Linked DNA regions of Drosophila melanogaster. The protein of the gene in region 4 interacts with the protein of the main gene of each other region in a pairwise test. Each region holds a gene or a part of one and is shown on either strand. Other genes may lie near its edges.

Region 1 (4,917 bases), on a different chromosome or scaffold from region 4:
GTAGTTTTGTGGTATTCAAATATTTATTCGAATTTCTCATGCGCTAATTTAATACAAACGAAACTGAAAATATTTTTAAATTCGATAAATAATTTGATTTTGATTTAAGGCGGAATTGACATTCTGACATTCTTACATTTTTTTTTTTTTTTAAATTTTGAGTGCCAATGGTGAATGCAATGACTTTCATTGCTGAAATTGTTCACTTAAATTGCAATTGCAATTAATGAATTCGCTTAATGTATCCATTCAACGAATACATTGCACATTTTCCATGCCTTTTTTTTATTGTTGAATGGGCTTTGTTTCGCTGTTTTTCTCATTGGAAAAGACTATCTCAAACAAAGTATTCAACCTGATTTCGTTGCTTACTCTTATTAGCAAATCTCACCTTGACATTGGGCTGTTGCAGTTGCAAGAAGGTGGCTACTCCATTGCGCACACGATTCTTGACGCCCCGTACGGTTCCCTTGGCGGATTTAATTGTAGAATTGCCGGCGAGCTTGCCCGCCGTTCGAATGTCACGAAAGCCAACAAAATCCTCACCCGGCTGCTCATCCGTAAAGTGCTGCGCTTCGTATTCCGTCGAGGAATTGGAACCAAAACTCCGGAAATTCTCGTGTTCGCGCACATGGAATGTGTAATAGCCATCCGTTTCGAATTGCAATGGTCTGCCATTGATTTTGGTGACCAGAGGACCGGACGCTCGTTCCCTGAATCGAATATCCCGCAGCAGGGTAGTGGGCAGCAGGCCACCAGAGTGCAGGGAATCGCAGCTTAGCGATGAGTTGCTGCTCTCATCGCATTCCTCGCTGTCATCGGTGAGGCTATATGCTCGCTTCGGAACGGGACTCGGCGTCTCCAGCGGGCTGTGCTTATGGTCCGCCTCCTCGTTGACCATCAGCCGCGTGGTCTGCAGATGAAGCTCCAGTTGCGGTGATCTCACCTGTTGCGGCTGCTGCTGCTGCTGCGGATGATTCTCCAGATCGCTGCCCGTGCCACTGTCCAAGGTCTCGCAGGGCGAGTACTGGCCACTGGTGTCCACCAAATAGCACATGTGCTGCTGCATCTCCTCCACGCCCTCGTTCAGCTTCACCACACTTATCTGCTTGCCCAGTGTTCGCTGCTGACCCTGGCTTTCGATTTGAATCTTCACCGTATTGTTGTGTTGCAATGTTGCCGCTGTGTCCGCTGCTGTTGCTGCTGCTTGACTGGCGGCAATTTCACCATTGCAGCTGATTATGGTCGGTGATGTTGCTGTTGCTGCTGCTGCTGTTGCTGCTGATGCTGCTGCTTCTGCTGATGCTGTTGCACCGGCAATTTCTCCGCCAATGCGCAACAGTAACTGCGGATAGATTTTGTTGGTCTCTGGTGCTGCTGTCGACTTTGCTGCAGTGTCGTAACTAGTTTCCAAATTATCTTTGGCTGTTGCTGCTGTGTCGCCAAATGCCAGCAACATGCCAGCAGCCTGTGACTTGAGCGACATTTCAGTGTTGCTGTTGCTCTTGGCAGTTGGTGCTACTTGTTTTGTTGCGGCTTCTGCTTCGGCAGTTGCGGTTGTTGTTGCTGGTGGTGGTGTTGCCGTTGCCACTTCTGGCGATTCAATGATTATGGAAATACCGCGCATTGGCTCCAATCGCGACACATTGCTAGTAATTGCCGCCATGGTTCTGCAGCATCTGGTTGTCGATATCCGATTTCAGATATCCAGTGCCTAGATCTCGTGCCTCCAAGCTGATGCAATCAAGTGCCGGCTAATGATGTTGCTCCTGTGCGTTCCACTTGCAGCTGCCTCTGCCTCTGCCTCTGTCTCTGCCGTTGACCGTTGCCAAGTGCTTTACAGTTAGAATGCCGCCTGCATACGATTGAAGTAATTGCCGCAGTTGCCTCTGCAAGAAATGTATTTATGCCAATGAAATAAAGTTTTATTTATTTTCGACTGAAATTTTGACGAGCCGTTGAGATTCTAATAGTCTAAAAAATGTCTAAATATGACCCCAAAGCTAACCAAGATAGGTATTTTCAATTTCTCCAAGTGTGTTAGACGCCGCCACACGAGCTTGACATTTAAGTTGAAGATGATGCTGAATAAATGTTAAAGGCTTTACCAGCATACTAAAAATACAGATGGGAAACCAGACAAAAAAAAAAATAATAATAATCATAATAATGATAAACACGAAACACCGCAAAAAGCAGAAAGAACTGGCTAAAGAATGTCGTAAGCAAAAGGAATATAAAATTCTGAATACCCTGTAATTTTTGCAGCTAATCATTTCTTTTCTATACATATTTGTAAACTAAGCAATTAATTGAAACAATTTAAATATAAACAAAAGATAGTTATTGTAACGAAATCAACTTCAGATATCATTTCGTTATTAATGTAGCTACATATGTATGTATGTAGCAAGCCGTATCGATTAGTGCAGCAACTTTTTCGATTCCGACAGTGAATGTTCTTCAAACTTAAGAACGAGTCGGAATTTACATTTAAATTGCTGAGGAGGAACTTGAAATATTGGGCGCGCACAGCCCGCGGCATTTTTGACTGCGGTTTTTTACGATTTTTTTTTTTCTCTTTGGAATCTGGAAACTGGTTACACTTGAACCTGGTATTTGTGTTTTTTTTTTCGTTTGTTGTTTGGAAATATTTACCCGTTGGTATTGCTGTTGTTGTTGTTGCTGCTGCTGGCCTGCATTCGCCGCTTATTGCACACAATTTTCATTTGATAGCATACCAAACAAACACACACACAAAAATAAAACAAAAATTGAAAAAATCGAAAAAATCAAAAAATTCAGAGATTTTTTATTGGACTATATTTTTTCATATATTGCACACACGCACGCAGTCTGTTTTTTTCCTTTAGATTTTCATGTTGCTGTGCTTACTATCAATCTTTGATCTTTCGTTGGGATTCTTCAGTTACTATATGTAATATATATGTATATATATGCACATGTATATCGGCTTGAAAACACGACTTTTGAGAACTCGCCGCGCGTACAATCCATTCAAAATCGCGCTGGCAACTGAAGCCGCAGCAACAAAGTCGCTTTGGGTTGGCGTGTTTCGCCAGGGATTGTTTTTTTTTTTTTTTTTTTTTTACCACTTCTTCTTCTTCGCATAGTTTCCTCTCTGTCTGCCGCCCATTCGCCGACTCTTTCTCAAGCCAGTTGTTGTTGAGGTTTTTTTAATTTTTGCTTTCAAGAAACTCACAAAAAAAAAGCAGCAGCCGCTGAAATTACCTAAAACAAAAATAAAAGAGCTTCAAGGCGATGGTTTAAATACACTGTCAGCAGATTTATTAGCTTATTAAGTACGCAATTAAGTCAGATTTCAAGTATTGCCCTAATAATTAATAATATTTACTTGCTACACATTTGCTTAATTATTTTTCAATTATATTGAAAATATATTATATTTATTATTAAATGCATAGAAATAGGTTGCATTTATTTGACATAGCCTGCATGTTGCACGATGAGTGCAAAAGTCAACTTACCCCAAAGGAAAAAGCGGGCAACAAATATGCGCCGCTGAGAATTTGTTTACGTGCGCATGCGCAGCCGCTGTCGACGGCGCTGCCTCTGCCGCAGTCGCTGCCCATGTCGACGTCGGCACTTGTCCGTCGCTTTTATTATTGTTATTGTTATTGCTGGTCTTGTTGCTGCCGCTGCTGTTGCTGCTGCTGTTGCTGGCGGCGCAGTACTCGTTTGTTGCCAAAGTTAATTGTTTGGTGCCACAGCTGCACAGTGGGACATCGAGAGTGCGCGGGGCACAGTGGGCAGTGGCAATTGGATGGCTGAATGGAATGTGGCAAGGCCTCAAACTGGTTTTCAGTTTTTAGGGGCTCAGGTGCGGCGATAACGCGATTGAGACTTCAACACGAGAGCAGGAATTCCGATTCCGCTGGCAATCAAAACAGCTTGCCGATCAAATTGGTTCAGTTCGAACCAAGAAATATATATATGTATATATATATATAATAAACATATGCACTTCTGGATCTCTGAAGCTGAAAAAGCTAACGAGTTGACCCCATGCTGATTCTAGTTTCAAACGAATCCTCCTCTTTGGACGCATTGGTCGCATTGTCGCCCAGAAATTTCCGCCTTAGAAATATGTACATATGTACAACTTAAGCATAAACAACAACTTTCCATCAAGCGACTTCGTCGCTCCGGCTGAACAATTGCCAAATGGATTTTAGCTTTTAATTATATTTAATACCAAAGTGTTTATGCAAAGGAAAGAAAAAAAAAGAAAAAAACCGAAAGAAAGACGCCTCGAATTTGTGTGTGCAATCAACGGAATGTAAAGCTGCACTTGCAGTATGCAGAAAGTACGAGTGCAGCAGCCACATGCAACAGGCGCTGCAGCTTGTAATTTACCGCTAATTCGATGCAGTGAGACGTCCAACGATGACGACCACTAATGTATGGTATGCATGTACGTATGTATGTACTTATGTATGTTTGTGCTTGCCACCGCCACCCGTACCGCCCCCAGTGGTAGAGGTACCGCTCCGCCCAGCACGATGGCCGGTCACTTGGCCAGTTTGTTTCCGCCTGTTGCGCTCCGCTGAAGTCACAAGGGCTGCTGCAGGCGTTGGCCAATTCAGATTACCGTTGCACATGCGCACACACACTCACACACTTTGCTGCACTGTGAGAAAGGAGTGACACTTGTCCATCGATTGCCAATGAAAAAAAAATATTTTTTAAAGAATTTTGTCGCCTTTCGTTACATTTGTATATGTTTTACAACTTATTTATCTACATTTAACAATTTAATTCCATTTTTTTTTCACTGTGTATTACTTCTAGTCAGTGAAAAGAAACTAGCCAAGCTTCACTAATCAATGGAGAAGTTTTTATGAATTCAGGATTTGTAAAGGAGTCGTAGGCTAA
Region 2 (4,769 bases), on a different chromosome or scaffold from region 4:
ATTAATTTAAATTTGAAATATATAATCCAGAATAGATTAGCCTGCAGATAAATCCAGTATATCCACAATTATCGTGATTTAATTGGTTACGTAAATTATTTTAATTGGATATGATTCTATTCTCAGCATGTTCAGATCGCAAATCATTAATAATTAAATAGAGAAAACAAATGTTTAAACAGTACTAATCTGACTTATATGCACAGTAGTTAGAGTAGCTACTATGTGTATTTTGAAATATGTAATAAAAAACATTGTCTCATCAATTTACGAAATATTTCATTGCAATTTCAAGCACTCATTGCTAAGATGATTCTCAAGCAAGATTTGCCGAAAAATTGTGATTCACGAGTGTTGCATAAAATTTGTATATTCCTGGCAAATGATTTGGACAGCAACGAATTTGACAACTTCAAGTGGCTGTGGCAGCTGCCAACCCGCTGCCACGCCCACTCCCACCATTCCGCCCATCTGTGGGGGTATCTGCGATTCGCTGGCAGCTTCTTCAGCAATTTATGCATTCAAGTGGCAGCCAAAGGCAGCGAACAGCAAACGCTGATGATGACAATAAAGGACGCTGGATCTGCGATGCTGCGCCGAGCATTCCTGATATTTTGCCATTTGTAGTTACTTGTGTTGTATCTGTAAGATGCATTTGGCTGATTGTCAAGTGCCACGCTTTGTTATCAGCATGCTGACATCATTATCCGGCAAAGGCAGCGACTTTAAACTTTAATCTGCTGCAGAGTGGAATTAAAACATTTTTTCATATCCAACAGATTGTATTTACTAATAATTACGTATTATATGCATAATAATTTATTTATATTGCTCCAAGTCACAATTACATCGAGGTAATCTTTAAGATTCTACCAGAATATTCCAGATCAAGAAGGTATAAGAGGAACGTACTACGTAGAAGAGTGCAAATCAGAATTCCCGGTGCTTATCAATTTTCTTTGTTTTTAAAGTCAAAAGGTTGACTGTGTTTTTTAATAACTAATTATGTGCACATAAAAATGAGAAAGTAAAGAGAAGGAAAACAAATATGTATGTTGCATATGTGTACAAATTGCATATTAGTTAGTTCCGTTATACGTATTACTTAGGGCAAGTTAACATTTAGTTTTCAAGTATTAATCATTTAAATGTTAATTTATGAAGTGCATCATGATTGGATTGCTTTTAAGCCTTTCACTTACCTGGCAATGTGAAAACGCCGCTAAGGGCTAGCACGGTCATCAGCAAACCGAACAAGAGCTTCATTTTTGTTTGGTTTTTTTTTTTTCACAAGCTTATAATTTGTTTAATTTGTATAGTTTATTTAGGGCTGAAAGCTTTGATGCGTTGATGTGGACCGGCAACCGGATTCGATTCTGTTCAGTTTTGTTCTGTGCGGAAAGACAAACAATCGTCAAATGCGCTTAAATGATTTGAGGAAGCGGCAAATAAACGGCGGCCGGCTGAGTGAGTGAGCGAGTGAGAAACCGAGTGAGTGACTAGCTGACCGCTCTCTTGCTCTCCCTCTCACTCAATTAGCCGCTGGGCTTATAAATATTCCAAATGGCAGGCGGCAAGTGTTGTGGGAAGAGCGCTACACTGTGCCCGTCAACTGGGTACAATATTTGGGGACTCCACTGTGTACAGAATGCAGCGTATTAGTAATGTTCTTAGGCACATTTAAGTTAACTTTTATTTTCGTTACACCTTTTTGTTTCCGTTATAGCTTACTGGTTCATTAACTATTGTATCTACTACTATAAAAAATATAATATAATATAACTTTATCTTTATAATTATATATATATAAAAGCAGTTCTAAAAGGGCATTTGCTACTAATATTTTAAAATTTCGATTAAAAGGGTGTTTGAAAGTCGCCGTTGCTCATTGAACCTTTTGTAAATTTAGTTGTGTTTTCAATTTACTTAATCAGTTTTTGTCTATGCTTCGTTAGCTGCACGCGGGCTTCTCTATTCCACTATATTTGTATTTCAGACTTTAAATGTGTCCCTGTCACAGTTGCTGAATGTTTCAGTCGCCCCATTCGTATTTCAATTCCACTTCGATTGCATTGTATGGAACTATGTCTATTCAACGGCTGCTCGAATCACCTGTTAAATGCGCTTGGTGTTTAGTTCAAGGTTGTTGTTTCTGTAAACAAAAGCATCATTTGCTTATTTCCCTAATGGGCAGCTATTGAGAATTTTCTTCCAAGGAAATGAAAACGGAGCTAAAGACTATTCTCAGTAATTAAATGGTTATGATAGAGTGCTTCTTTTTAATTCCATCGATAAAGTAGTCACGCCTTGATTGAGCCGGGTTTAATCACGATTTTACTAACGAATATGCCAAAGATCGGCAATTTATTGGAAATCTTTAGTTAATCCGATTATGAATGATCTTTTTGACCCGAGAGAACTTACGATATAACACCCAATTACAGTTCTGATAAATATAAAAAGCCGTAAAGAATTTGTATAATTATACACTGATTTAAATCTAGAATGTATTATAATCTCAAAATGAACTGGAATTTTTGCACATCAGAAAATTATTTAAATATCTTGCCCGACAGTAAATTTTTCAAGGTCTTCAAAATTAGCAACTATAAACTTTAAATAGCATTTTTAATGTCTGATAGTTTTAGAAAGCTATTGTTTATGTTGGGCTCAGCATAAAAGTGAGCACAAGTAAATATTTCGCAAACAGCTGCGTGAAGTAAATTAGGCATCCAAATTATTGCCCAGACAGCCTAAACAAGCTGCAAATTGTTTGTTTGTAAACATTTTTGTCAGCGCCGAAGCGGAAATTGTTCACGCACACAATTTCATTCACATACACATGCCGACAACCGCGAATTTGCATAAATTTTATTATTGTTACCGGTGTCATACAGTTATTTCTGTGGATCGCTTGAATCACTCGATTTCGAAAGATCGGAGAAGAACGCGCGATCTTCAACGTGCGTTGGCTTTAATGAAACGTTTCGGACTAAACGGTTGCGTACGATTTTGGCTTCATTTATACCAGCTCACGTCGTTGGCACTCAAAAAAAAACAAAGAATTGAGAAGAGAGACCGGGAAAGGGAGGAATGCGCAGAGAAGAATACGAGAGCGAAGAAGGGTCTTCCGAGTGCTCCAAATGTGCATTCAACAATGTTTTAATTAAAAAAAAAAAAGAAAAATAACTAAAGAACTTTCAATTTTATATTTTTACAACAGATCCACTACCAAAGATGCCCCATCCTGTTTACCCAAAAAGTAGCAGAAATTTTACAAAAAGAATATTCATTGACACGTCAGTGGGAGCAAAAATGAATGTCGCCAGCGGAACGCGAATGTCCTCCAGTGCAGTCCCTTGACCAAAACCGTTGGAGTTCGAGGTGTATGTATAAAAATCAGAAATTCAAAGCGGATGGCCGACAGCGCCGAGAAAGAGGCGGGGATATAGTTAGCGACAAGGAACGCGCGCCAAGCTACGTTCTTGGATTGACAATGAAGTCCACCTGCCCCCTTTTACCTGAACTTGCCTCTTGGGAGCCGTGTTGCTTTATGGTTTTCGACCAGATTGAAATCGCGATCGGCGCAGCTACAGCTGTTAAAATCTCCTGCAGGCTGCTCTTCATGCTCTACAACTTGTAATTCTTGTCGTGGTCCCACGAACCGGATTCTGTTTTAACTACACTTTCGTTGGTTTTATTCGAACTGCTATTTTCGTTTTACTAAATACAGGTTTGATTGCACTATGCCTTTAAGTGGCAGAGGAGCATTTAAAATAAATTACCATTTTCGGTTAATCGTTGACACAACATTCTTGCGGTCGAGTCAATAAATTCCCCAAAAAACAAGATTTGGTTGTCAAGGCTTCGAAGTGAGAAGAATTTGAGTCAGCTTAGTCCTACATATATTTAAGTGAGTAAAGCTTGGCTTTTAGGACCAACGATATTTTAAAATATCAGATTGACTTGTTTTTAAATAAACTATTTACAATGCTATGATCTTCAGGTAAATATCGTAGTATATTTTCTATTTTTTTATATATACTAATTATATATATTTTTCTTTATCATTTGCAGTCTCTTAATTAGTCATAAATCTTTCGAATTTAAATTTAGACACCGGATGACAGACAGAAACACTCACAGATTATAACGAAACGTGCTCTTGACCTTGACACTGTTGGAAAAAAATGAAGTACCCATATTCAGATATTTATTTTAGGATTGAATATTTTTAGAATGTTTTAAATTTCCTTGATAAACTTTATTCTTGCGCCATCTATGTACTTGCAGAAGACGCTGATACTAGCGCCACCTGGCAGCAGTAGGTTCTTAACATTTCTGTTAATTTTACAGAGCTGGAAATATGCTGGCTGTTCGAACGAGAGTTGCCAGATGAATTTAGACGTTGCCTTGGTAACGGTTTTCACTTGATTTTATTGTCGAAATAAAATAAATAAAGAAGGAAAACAAATATAAGGGACTAAAATAAAATAATAATGTTTCGTCGTGGAAAACTATCCTTTCTAAACACCAAAGATGACCGTGTTAAAATAATAAACGAGCGCATAAACATAACAGAAAGGCATCTAATGGAGATGTGCTCTTCGTTTGCTTTGGTAACGCGGAAAATGGCCAAGTGAGTTTGGTAAATAAATAAATCTGAATGAATAATCATAAGACCTTGCAGATATCGGGACTCCTTTGATGAGTTGGCCAAGAGTGTGAAGAGCTACGCCGACGACGAGGAAATCAACGAGAGTCTCTGT
Region 3 (4,727 bases), on a different chromosome or scaffold from region 4:
TGATAAAATAAAGACTAAATCTAAATTTGTATTTTTGAGGGACTTTTTTGGATATTTTTTCGTTCTGATTAAGGAAAGAAAGTGAATTTTGTTTTGGGAAAGCATGAAGGATTGGGATATTAACAACGGTCTAATATTTCAGAACGGTTTCCCCTTTAAGTGAAGTTTGTGGGAATCCCTTGTGCGTTGACTAATTTCCGAGGAATTTCTGTGCATCCTTGGCCATCAATTTGTTGTCAGCAGCTGAGGAGGCGCCACATCAGCATCTCTGGCACTTGTTCCGCCATTTGAATCCGGTGCTCATCCTCTCCCAGTTGGCTGGTCCCTTCTCCTACTCTTTCCCCTTCCCTTTCCCTTGCCAGTGTCCTTGTTCTTGGCTAAGTCGGATCCTTTGAGTTGGGAGGAAATGCTATCATTTGGTGCCTGTCATCGTTGTGTTCGTTGTTGCTGCTGTCTGTTTGCCTGACGCCGACGAAAGGTTAAGGCATGCATCGCTTCCATCAAATTAGACGCATTTTCGACGCGCTTTGTCTGCCAGGCCCTCTCTATCTAGCTCAGTCGTCCGTCTCTTTCTCCCCAACTATGTCTGTCTCTCTCTTCCACACTTTTCCCTACACTTCCTTTACCCACTTTGGCAATTTTCTAGCTGACGCCGCTTTGCCTTTACGTTTTATCACTTCATTTGCACTGAAATGTCAATGTCTGGCTCGTTCCTTTCCCTTCCTTTTTCAATACCTTTGCACAGACTGTTCCCATTTTCACTTATTCAATGGGTTTTAATAAAAGTCCGGGGTGTTTTATACATTTTTTCTTATCTTAACCACATTTTTGCCAAATGCTACTTGGTATCAGAAACATTGACAAAATATGTCACCAATGGTGCAAACCTATAATGAAAGACTACAATTTTTAATGTCTATTCTGTTAAGATCCTTGATTTAAAATTATAAAATAAAACGGATTTAAAAGTGTACAATTTATAGTTTCAAGCTAAAAAATTGCATACTATATCAACTTGATTATAATTCATTTTTAAATGCAAAAGTAAAAGCAAATTAAAACACTTCCGATTTTATGTATGTAATGTATAAACTCACGAACAAAGATTTGTAAATTATATAATTAAAGGGAATATCTGATTTGTAAGAGCAATCCCAGCCTCGTCGGACGCCCAGTTCAGTTTCAAAGAGCATGGCCAAAAAAGTCAGGAAGGAAGCAGTTTTGTTGCAATGACGTGGGCGGTATTTTTTGTGGGTGGGCAATTGCTGAGTGTGGGTGTGTAGGAAGCATTGGATTGGATTGGATGGGAGGGGTTGTGTCCTGGCGCTAAAAGAAATCTGTCTGACAAATTACACGCCCCGAGTTGCAGAGTCGCAGCAGCAGCTGCTGAAACGCTTCGTTTGCTCCTCCTCCGTGACTTGCTCCTTCACTTTCGCCTGCTGTTTGCGTTGTCTTCCCGTGCTGCTTCTAGCTCCACATTCGGACTCAGGCCATCAAACCGATTGACTGAAGGATTGGGCCAGGGCACGTCATTCACTCAGTTAGTCCGTTAGTCAGCGAGTGCAACGGCCTTTTGATTGGGCTTTATGGTCATGGGGTGGCAGTGGCTATCTCCGCCTCCTTGTGCCTTTTAGTTGGTCTTGCGGGGAGGGGGTGTTCGGTTTTAGTGGACTTTACTTAGCTGGATGAGCTCATTCGCCGGGTTATCTGGTGTGAAGGGGGAACTACGGAGGCTAAAGGAACTTGAGTTTCATAGCTGAACAACATAGAGGGCTTCTATAAAAATTGTAAGTAGCTCATAGCTTTGGTTCTGAACCACTTGGTTAACTTTCTCATAATAAAATGGGAATTACTTACAATTAAATCAAGTTTACAAAATTCCACACCCCTAGGAGTAATGAGCCAATAACAAATAATTTCTGCTGCACTTTAATATGTATGCAGGATATTTATTAAGAAAATTACTTGTGGCCTTGGCATTTCTTTTCTTAAATTGGCATTTTTATTCTGCACATCTCACATAACGAATTAATCAACATGTCTCCGTAACAATTTCTGCATTTATTCTCAGCATAGCACTTCTCTGAATAACATTTACGACCATTCCAGCATTCCCTAATTTGTCAAATTTTGTTTCGTTTCCCCAAAATCCTTTCTGGTTTACTGCGGCTGCCGTCGATGGTCAGCCCTTCTCAGTTTCCACATCATCGGGCATCCTCGTTCCTCAACCCATCCCATCGCCTCGTAGGAAGACCAACCTCTTTCCCTCAACGCAAGACATTCAACAGTTACAAATTGCTATTCGCACAGAATTTCAGTTATCTGATAAATTTCAACGCACACAAACATTTGAACGTTGAAAATGGAAAACCCAAGCACAGAGCGAAAGTATTGCAAACCCTTCAAGTTAAACTATATTTATATTTAATTTAAGTTCAAAAACTAGAATTAGGATTATATTTATATGTAGATGAGGAGAGCTTATTTTTTATTTACTATATAGTACATACATATTTCTAATCACATTGGAGATAGATAGCACCCAATCGTTTTAGATGTGCACACAAGGCAACCCGTTCGATGCTCCTCGAGGCACATTTTGCTTACCACTTGAATATATTGTGTCATCTAGCCACTCATCCTTTCGAATCCGATAAAATGGCACACCACGCACTTTTCGGGGTTTTCAAAATATTTGGCAAGCGTTTCTGCAATTCCTCGGATTGCGACGCTAATGTTATTTTTCACTCTACGTCGGATTTATTTGTGATTCGACGGCGGCTGGTAGTAAAATTATTTGTTTATTTTCCTTGCGTTTTTGGCCGCTAATTTGGATTGGATGCAGGCAGCAGGAAAAGCCCCCGGGGGTTATCTATCACCCGCCCAACTTTTTCGCCACTCTCACCCTATTTGGTTTGAGTTTTTCGCGCACGTTCATCGAATTTGGTCTTTGGCGCTGGCGAAGTTTTTGTTTACTTTACCCTGGGTTTGCTCGTAGTTTGGTTTTATATTATTATTTTAGATTCAGATACAGTGACTGAACTGCACGTTCCGGTGTTGTTTTGCATACTGCGCGCCGCATTTGCCGGCGAATTTTGTTATGGTGCATGCGAGTTTTCCGATGCGAATTTTCCGATGCGAGTTTTCCGACTGCAGAGTCGCTCGGATCCACAATTGCGCTCGGTGCTCGGCTTTCAGGTTCGTCGCCCGATTGGCCTGATGCCTGATGCGTGTTGCGGTCTGCTGCCGTTTTCCCAGCTGCAATTTTCCTCAATTAACAGTTGGTCGGGAGAGCACGCGGTGAGGGAGACTCTCCCGCCGACACTTTCTCTCTTATACGAACTCTCACTTTCGTTGGCCAACAACAGTCGAATGTTAGCGCTTGCAGTTCTGTTGCCATTTTGGGCAAGTGCTTGTTGATTCTACTGGTGCCATTTAGAAGGATATAAGAACAAGGATTATCAAAGTATAATATTGAGATGTGTTGTCGCTATAGGTTAATCAAAACTACTTCCATGTGTTATCTATCTCATGCTAAAACAAGAAATTTTAAAAAGTTTTACCTTCCTTTGGTATCATGCTGTTATAAAAATTATTTCCAGTTATTTTGGACCTAAATTTAATTACTCTAAATTTAACATATATTAGCGAGCATATACCCTTATTTTATCAGATTTATAATTCCTTATAATTAAAATGTTCAAAATCGTTTATGGGATGGCTTACCGGCCGTATACGTAATGTGTTATTTATACTTTTACCAAATTCCAATAACACAAATGTGTTTGCATAACATATTATTTTCGGCACAATTGTTTCGTAGTTCAGGTATGGCACTGCATTTAAAATTATATCGGTATTGGGACAGTCAATGTTATAATTATAGTTGCAAATGTACGTGTATTAGCTTGAATTCGGAAAGGCTTTGATTGCTGATTGATTATTCTAGCCTTAATTGCATGCATTTTGCATACAGTTGTTTGCAATAATTGAAATCAGTAATGACATGGAAAGGAGGACAAGAAATGCATGCTCTCACAATTTACTTAGGATATGATATAGCAAGACTGTGCTATATCATATATATATTCTTAAAAACATTAAAAATATGTTCTTGCCTCGTTACCAAACATCACACTCGATATAAATCATTCATACATATTTTTTCCAAAGTTTACAAAGTTAGTTTGCAAATTTATCAGATATTTAAATTAAGTTTGGAAAGTGATTGCGTTTCAGATACCAATCTTTAGTTTCCTCCTACATTTTTTGGGTAAATAAATCATATCTCAGCACTGCCACCGTCTCAGAGCTCCAACTTAAGAAGCCCCAGGCGTCGAAATCTAATTGCCGTGCACTTGGAAAACTATCCACCTGGCCCAAACCCGGAGTTATCTCCCTTGCTCTGTTGGTCATTAGAAGAACAGGAAATTTTCCGTTTTTGTTCGCACCCAACTTGGAAAGAAATTTGCTGCAATAATTTCCATGTGGAGCCAGTTGATGTTTTCGTTTAGAAAAAAGTTCGACTTGGTTAGATGACAGTGAAAAAAAAGCTGGCAAACATATGGTAAGAGTTGGGGGATATCTAGAAGAAACTTTGGAAAGAGAGTGACACAGAAAATATGGCAACTGTCGACGTTCTTCGGAGTCAAACTTTAGTTTGGCCTTTTGAGCAAAACTTTTAATCCTTCTGGTTGAATTTCCGACAGTTTGCTTTAATCCTTTTC
Region 4 (4,817 bases):
GAACATTTGTCTCTGGCATTGCCACCATACACTATATATGTATATATTCCATCCATTATTCCTCAAAGTGAAATGCATTTCTGGTAATCAGTTTGCCGAGAGCGGCAACAAATTGACATTGGCAATTTGTTTTGGCCGCCGCCTTTGATCATCCATCCGACTTGCGTCATCTCCGATCGTATTTCCTCATGGCATAAACAAACAAAAAATCGCTCGCCTGTCCGCCGCCTCACCCATTTTGGAATGCGTCTAAAAATATTCGAAAATCGTTTCGAAACCAGAAATATTTTGGGAATAGAAAGCTTTACGGTATGGTATTCGGGAAATTTGAAACGCACCGTCGCGTCTGGAGGTGAAAAAAGCTCACACATCACACATAGATCCATAAATGTACATATATATTGTATGTATCTTGAACTACTGATCGATGGAAAGCTTCGGCTAGGATTTGCTTTCCCGGCTAGATGCCCCCCCCCAATTTTTTCCAAAATCTCTATGTTTTTAGAAAAAATTAAATCTAAAAAATCGTTTTTATTTATAAATAATTATAAATTGTTTTAATTAATATTACAATCATGAGATTATTTTACATTTCGTAGTCAATAGACCCCATCCGCTCTATCGGGGAAGTTGTTAGGTTCTGTACAAAATACATGAGGGTGTCGGTTCATTCGTAAAACAATCAAATGGCGATCAACATTTAAGGAAACCGCGAGCGATTAACAAGTGGATGGGGATCGCGGTCCGTGGCATTAGATTGACAATTCATTTTGATTGATGGTGTTGTGTTCAGTCAGTACAAAAGAGTATTCTCGAACCAAGGATGACACGTTGGTAAATAATGACATTCAAAAACAAATGGTTGGATGGTGGTGGTGTTTGTTGTTTTTGCCGGTGGAGCACCAGCCGCCCACACACCCAGAACCACCACAAATAGCAGGACCAGATGAGCAGGAGACAGGTGAGTAGACCGGGTGGTGCTAGTGTTGGTGCTAGGCAACTGCAACTGCTTAGAAGCACTTGCGGTGGACGATGCCAGGGCCGGACTCGTCGTACTCCTCCTTGGAGATCCACATCTGCTGGAAGGTGGACAGAGAGGCCAGGATGGAGCCACCGATCCAGACGGAGTATTTGCGCTCTGGGGGAGCAATGATCTTGATCTTGATGGTGGATGGGGCCAGGGAGGTGATCTCCTTCTGCATACGATCGGCAATACCGGGGTACATGGTGGTGCCACCGGACATGACGATGTTGGCGTACAGGTCCTTACGGATATCCACATCGCACTTCATGATGGAGTTGTAGACGGTCTCGTGGATGCCGCAGGATTCCATTCCCAGGAAGGAAGGCTGGAACAGGGACTCGGGGCAACGGAAACGCTCGTTGCCGATGGTGATCACCTGTCCGTCGGGAAGCTCGTACGACTTCTCCAGGGAGGTGGAGGCGGCGGCGGTGGCCATCTCCTGCTCGAAGTCCAGGGCAACATAGCACAACTTCTCCTTGATGTCACGGACAATTTCACGCTCAGCGGTGGTGGTGAAAGAGTAGCCGCGCTCGGTCAGGATCTTCATCAGGTAGTCGGTCAAATCGCGACCAGCCAGATCCAGACGGAGGATGGCATGGGGCAGAGCATAACCCTCATAGATGGGGACGGTGTGGGAGACACCATCACCGGAGTCCAGAACGATACCGGTGGTACGACCGGAGGCGTACAGGGAGAGCACGGCCTGGATGGCGACGTACATGGCGGGCGAGTTGAAGGTCTCAAACATGATCTGGGTCATCTTCTCGCGGTTAGCCTTGGGGTTCAGGGGGGCCTCAGTCAGCAGGACGGGGTGCTCCTCGGGGGCAACACGCAGCTCGTTGTAGAAGGTGTGGTGCCAGATCTTCTCCATATCATCCCAGTTGGTGATGATACCGTGCTCGATGGGGTATTTCAGGGTGAGGATACCACGCTTGGACTGGGCCTCATCACCGACGTACGAGTCCTTCTGGCCCATACCGACCATCACACCCTGGTGGCGTGGACGACCGACGATGGAGGGGAAGACGGCACGGGGAGCGTCATCACCGGCGAAACCGGCCTTGCACATGCCGGAGCCTGCAGGATAACACAATCGAACAGGGGTCCATTAGTGGGCGCTCGAGTGCTTCATGTGGGGTTTCCCACACTGGGAGTCTAACATTTGCTCTAACGGACAGCGTGAAAAAGTCTGGCGACTAAGTCGAAAAAACTGGAAAAGTTTGGGGCGGAGAGAAAAATTCTCTCATGAAAATATGTGATCTGTCTTCTTCTCTCGTATAGAGAAATATCTGAAGATATATGATTTCTGAAATATTCCTCTTCTCTAATATCATGATCTCTTGAAAAGCTTTCAAGCATCAAAACTTATGAAAGTGATTCGGGCACAAAAAATCTTTATAAAACTTATGCAAATCGGTTTTGATTCTGTGCAAAATATAATATTTTAGCTTTTCTTTATCTGAATATTTATGATTCTTTGACTTGAATTGAAAATATTGCTCAATAACTAATATTTAAAATATATATTTCTCGAAATCATCCAAGGCATTGGAATATTTTTTTTGTTATATTCAAATTTCTAATTGCTTGTGTCCCGAAGGATGCGTGAGTTAATCACAACTCGAAAATCGTTCACTTTGCGATCACTTTAGCACTAGATGCGGGAATATCCTTTCGCTGTTGGGTCCTTTGTCTATTTCTCTTTCTTTTTTTTCTCTTTTAGCAAAAGCCAAGACGATAATCCGTTCGATGGGGAATACGCACCATTGTCAACGACCAGAGCAGCAACTTCATCGTCACACATTTTGTTTTAGTTTTGTTTTTTTTACGGCACCACGGGTGAATTAAATCAAGAGTTACGGTGTGTACGGCTTGGAACACAACTGACTGACTAAAGTATCGCCGCGTTGGTACTCGGATTTTATACCGCCGCCGAAATGCCATCTCGTCCAAGAAGCGCCGTCGCCATGCCCCCCGCCGCCACCGCCCCCGCCACGCCCCCATACCAATGGCAAAAGAAATACTCAAACGAATACACACAGCGAGGAAATATGCTCATGGATGCGATAATGCTGCCCACCGGCCGATCCGCCTAAAAATAGATCCTTCAGCATAGGGGGCTCTTTGGAAAACATAAGGCGAACGAGCGAGAGGCACAATATGGTATGGCATGCTATACGTATAGGAATACCATATAGCATATAGCGCAGTATAGTTCGGCGTGATCGAGCGTGGAGATCGTATCGGTTGGGATCGGGCACGATCGGCTGCCTGCTCACGATCGTTTGCAGTCTCAAAAAGTGCCGTATAAGGCAAGGAGGCGCCTCCAGCACACTCACACTCGTTTGCTCATTCTCAGCGAGTCGCTCTCTCTCTCTCTCCTGTTCTCCCACTATATCGGCCATATCGGCTATATCTGCTATATCTGCTATATTTGCTATATGTTTCGGTTCGGTTTGGATACTTTTTGGGTCGGTTCGTTACGGTGGGGGATTGGGTGGGTGGATATATTCGCTTTGTTGCTGGCTTCTATTTTCTCGTACGGCTCGTTGTTTTCATAACTTTCGTGTTTTTCTCATGTCGTAATAAATTCATTTTCTATTTTCGATATGTACACACACACAAACGCACAGCCTTAGTCAAATCGCATCTCTATCATTTCCCAGCCTTTGCACCTTCATGCCTTTCGTTTCTAATTTTGGTCATATTTCTCATTGCGCTCTCGCCCAAGATCCACGCCCACGCCCATGTCTACGCCCCTCGTGCAATGAGCATTATATTCAACTAATTGTTTATTTACAAATCGGGCTGTAAGATGTTAGTAAGGGGGATGGGAGGGGGGAGCTTAACCGTTACATGCCGGCTTTGCAGGGTACCCATTTAAATTGGGTTCGGTGCAATCTATTTTTGGGCTGCAACTAAGTGGGGCATGTTTACGTTTTATGGCACAATCCGGTGAGGCCAATCGTTGCTGTGGATCCTCCACACTCTCCTCCTCCACACATTTTACCCAATTCTCGCTGTATTCAAATACTTGGATACAGATGTATGTATTTGTGGCGCGGTTCGGTTGCTATACTACATGGAAAAACAAATGGATGTCGCTAAATTAGATTTGGGGCCCCATGCATATTCATTCTATAAAACGTGTATTTTCGCACGTACATATATGTATCTTTGGATACATAACACCAATAAGGTTGAGTTCCAGCTTCCCGAGGAAGAATGACTAATCCCTTAACCTAAATTGCAAAAATTAATCTATCAAAAGAATCGGTCTAGTTCGAATAGGATTATTTTCGAACTAATTTTAGACGGTTCTAAATATAGATCAAATGACAACAAGCAAGGTATTCCTCCAGAGTTGCCAGAGAGACAAGTAGGGCATATTTTTATTTTATGATTGTCGCCTTACTGATTACTATAATACTTATTGCAAATTTATAATAATTGCTTTTTAATAGGTATAATAATAATAATAATAATATAATATAATAACTTTAATAATAAGTATAAAAATAATAGTTTTTAGTGATATGCCTACAACAATTGTATATTTTCTATATTTTTCAATAATATTTTTTTTCTAATTTTCTAATTATTTTTTATTCCGGAAAATACATTTAAGTATTAAATATTTATTAGGTTTAAATAAGATGAGCATAAATTATTTAAGGTATGATTCTACTTAACAGCATGTTTTCATTTTGAATCTTCAAAATGTTTAAAATCCCACGTTTTTTCAAAAAACTTCTTTAATTAAAATCTAAAGGACACGAGTGAGCTTATCATT

What was found.
Region 1: the proteins of Act57B (region 4) and CG12206 interact in a two-hybrid assay, tested with the Drosophila melanogaster proteins (one large-scale study listed by BioGRID).
Region 2: the proteins of Act57B (region 4) and vir-1 interact in a two-hybrid assay, tested with the Drosophila melanogaster proteins (one large-scale study listed by BioGRID).
Region 3: the proteins of Act57B (region 4) and AstC-R1 interact in a two-hybrid assay, tested with the Drosophila melanogaster proteins (one large-scale study listed by BioGRID).

What each region holds. Positions count from the first base shown.
Region 1 is NC_004354.4:3,471,483-3,476,399, forward strand, and holds the start of CG12206 (uncharacterized protein), read right to left. Parts: upstream 3,043-4,917; 5' UTR 2,659-3,042; intron 1,969-2,658; exon of another isoform or gene 1,890-1,968; 5' UTR 1,667-1,889; coding exon 392-1,666; intron 1-391.
Region 2 is NT_033779.5:12,420,439-12,425,207, forward strand, and holds the start of vir-1 (virus-induced RNA 1), read right to left. Parts: upstream 3,002-4,769; 5' UTR 2,885-3,001; intron 1,425-2,884; exon of another isoform or gene 1,392-1,424; 5' UTR 1,267-1,391; coding exon 1,203-1,266; intron 1-1,202. Other genes in the region: Fam92, read left to right, coding at 4,500-4,639, 4,691-4,769.
Region 3 is NT_037436.4:18,558,585-18,563,311, reverse strand, and holds the start of AstC-R1 (allatostatin C receptor 1), read right to left. Parts: upstream 3,055-4,727; 5' UTR 2,608-3,054; intron 1-2,607.
Region 4 is NT_033778.4:20,942,128-20,946,944, reverse strand, and holds Act57B (actin 57B), read right to left. Parts: upstream 2,925-4,817; 5' UTR 2,829-2,924; coding exon 2,789-2,828; intron 2,102-2,788; coding exon 1,011-2,101; 3' UTR 514-1,010; downstream 1-513. UniProt on the Drosophila melanogaster protein: Actins are highly conserved proteins that are involved in various types of cell motility and are ubiquitously expressed in all eukaryotic cells.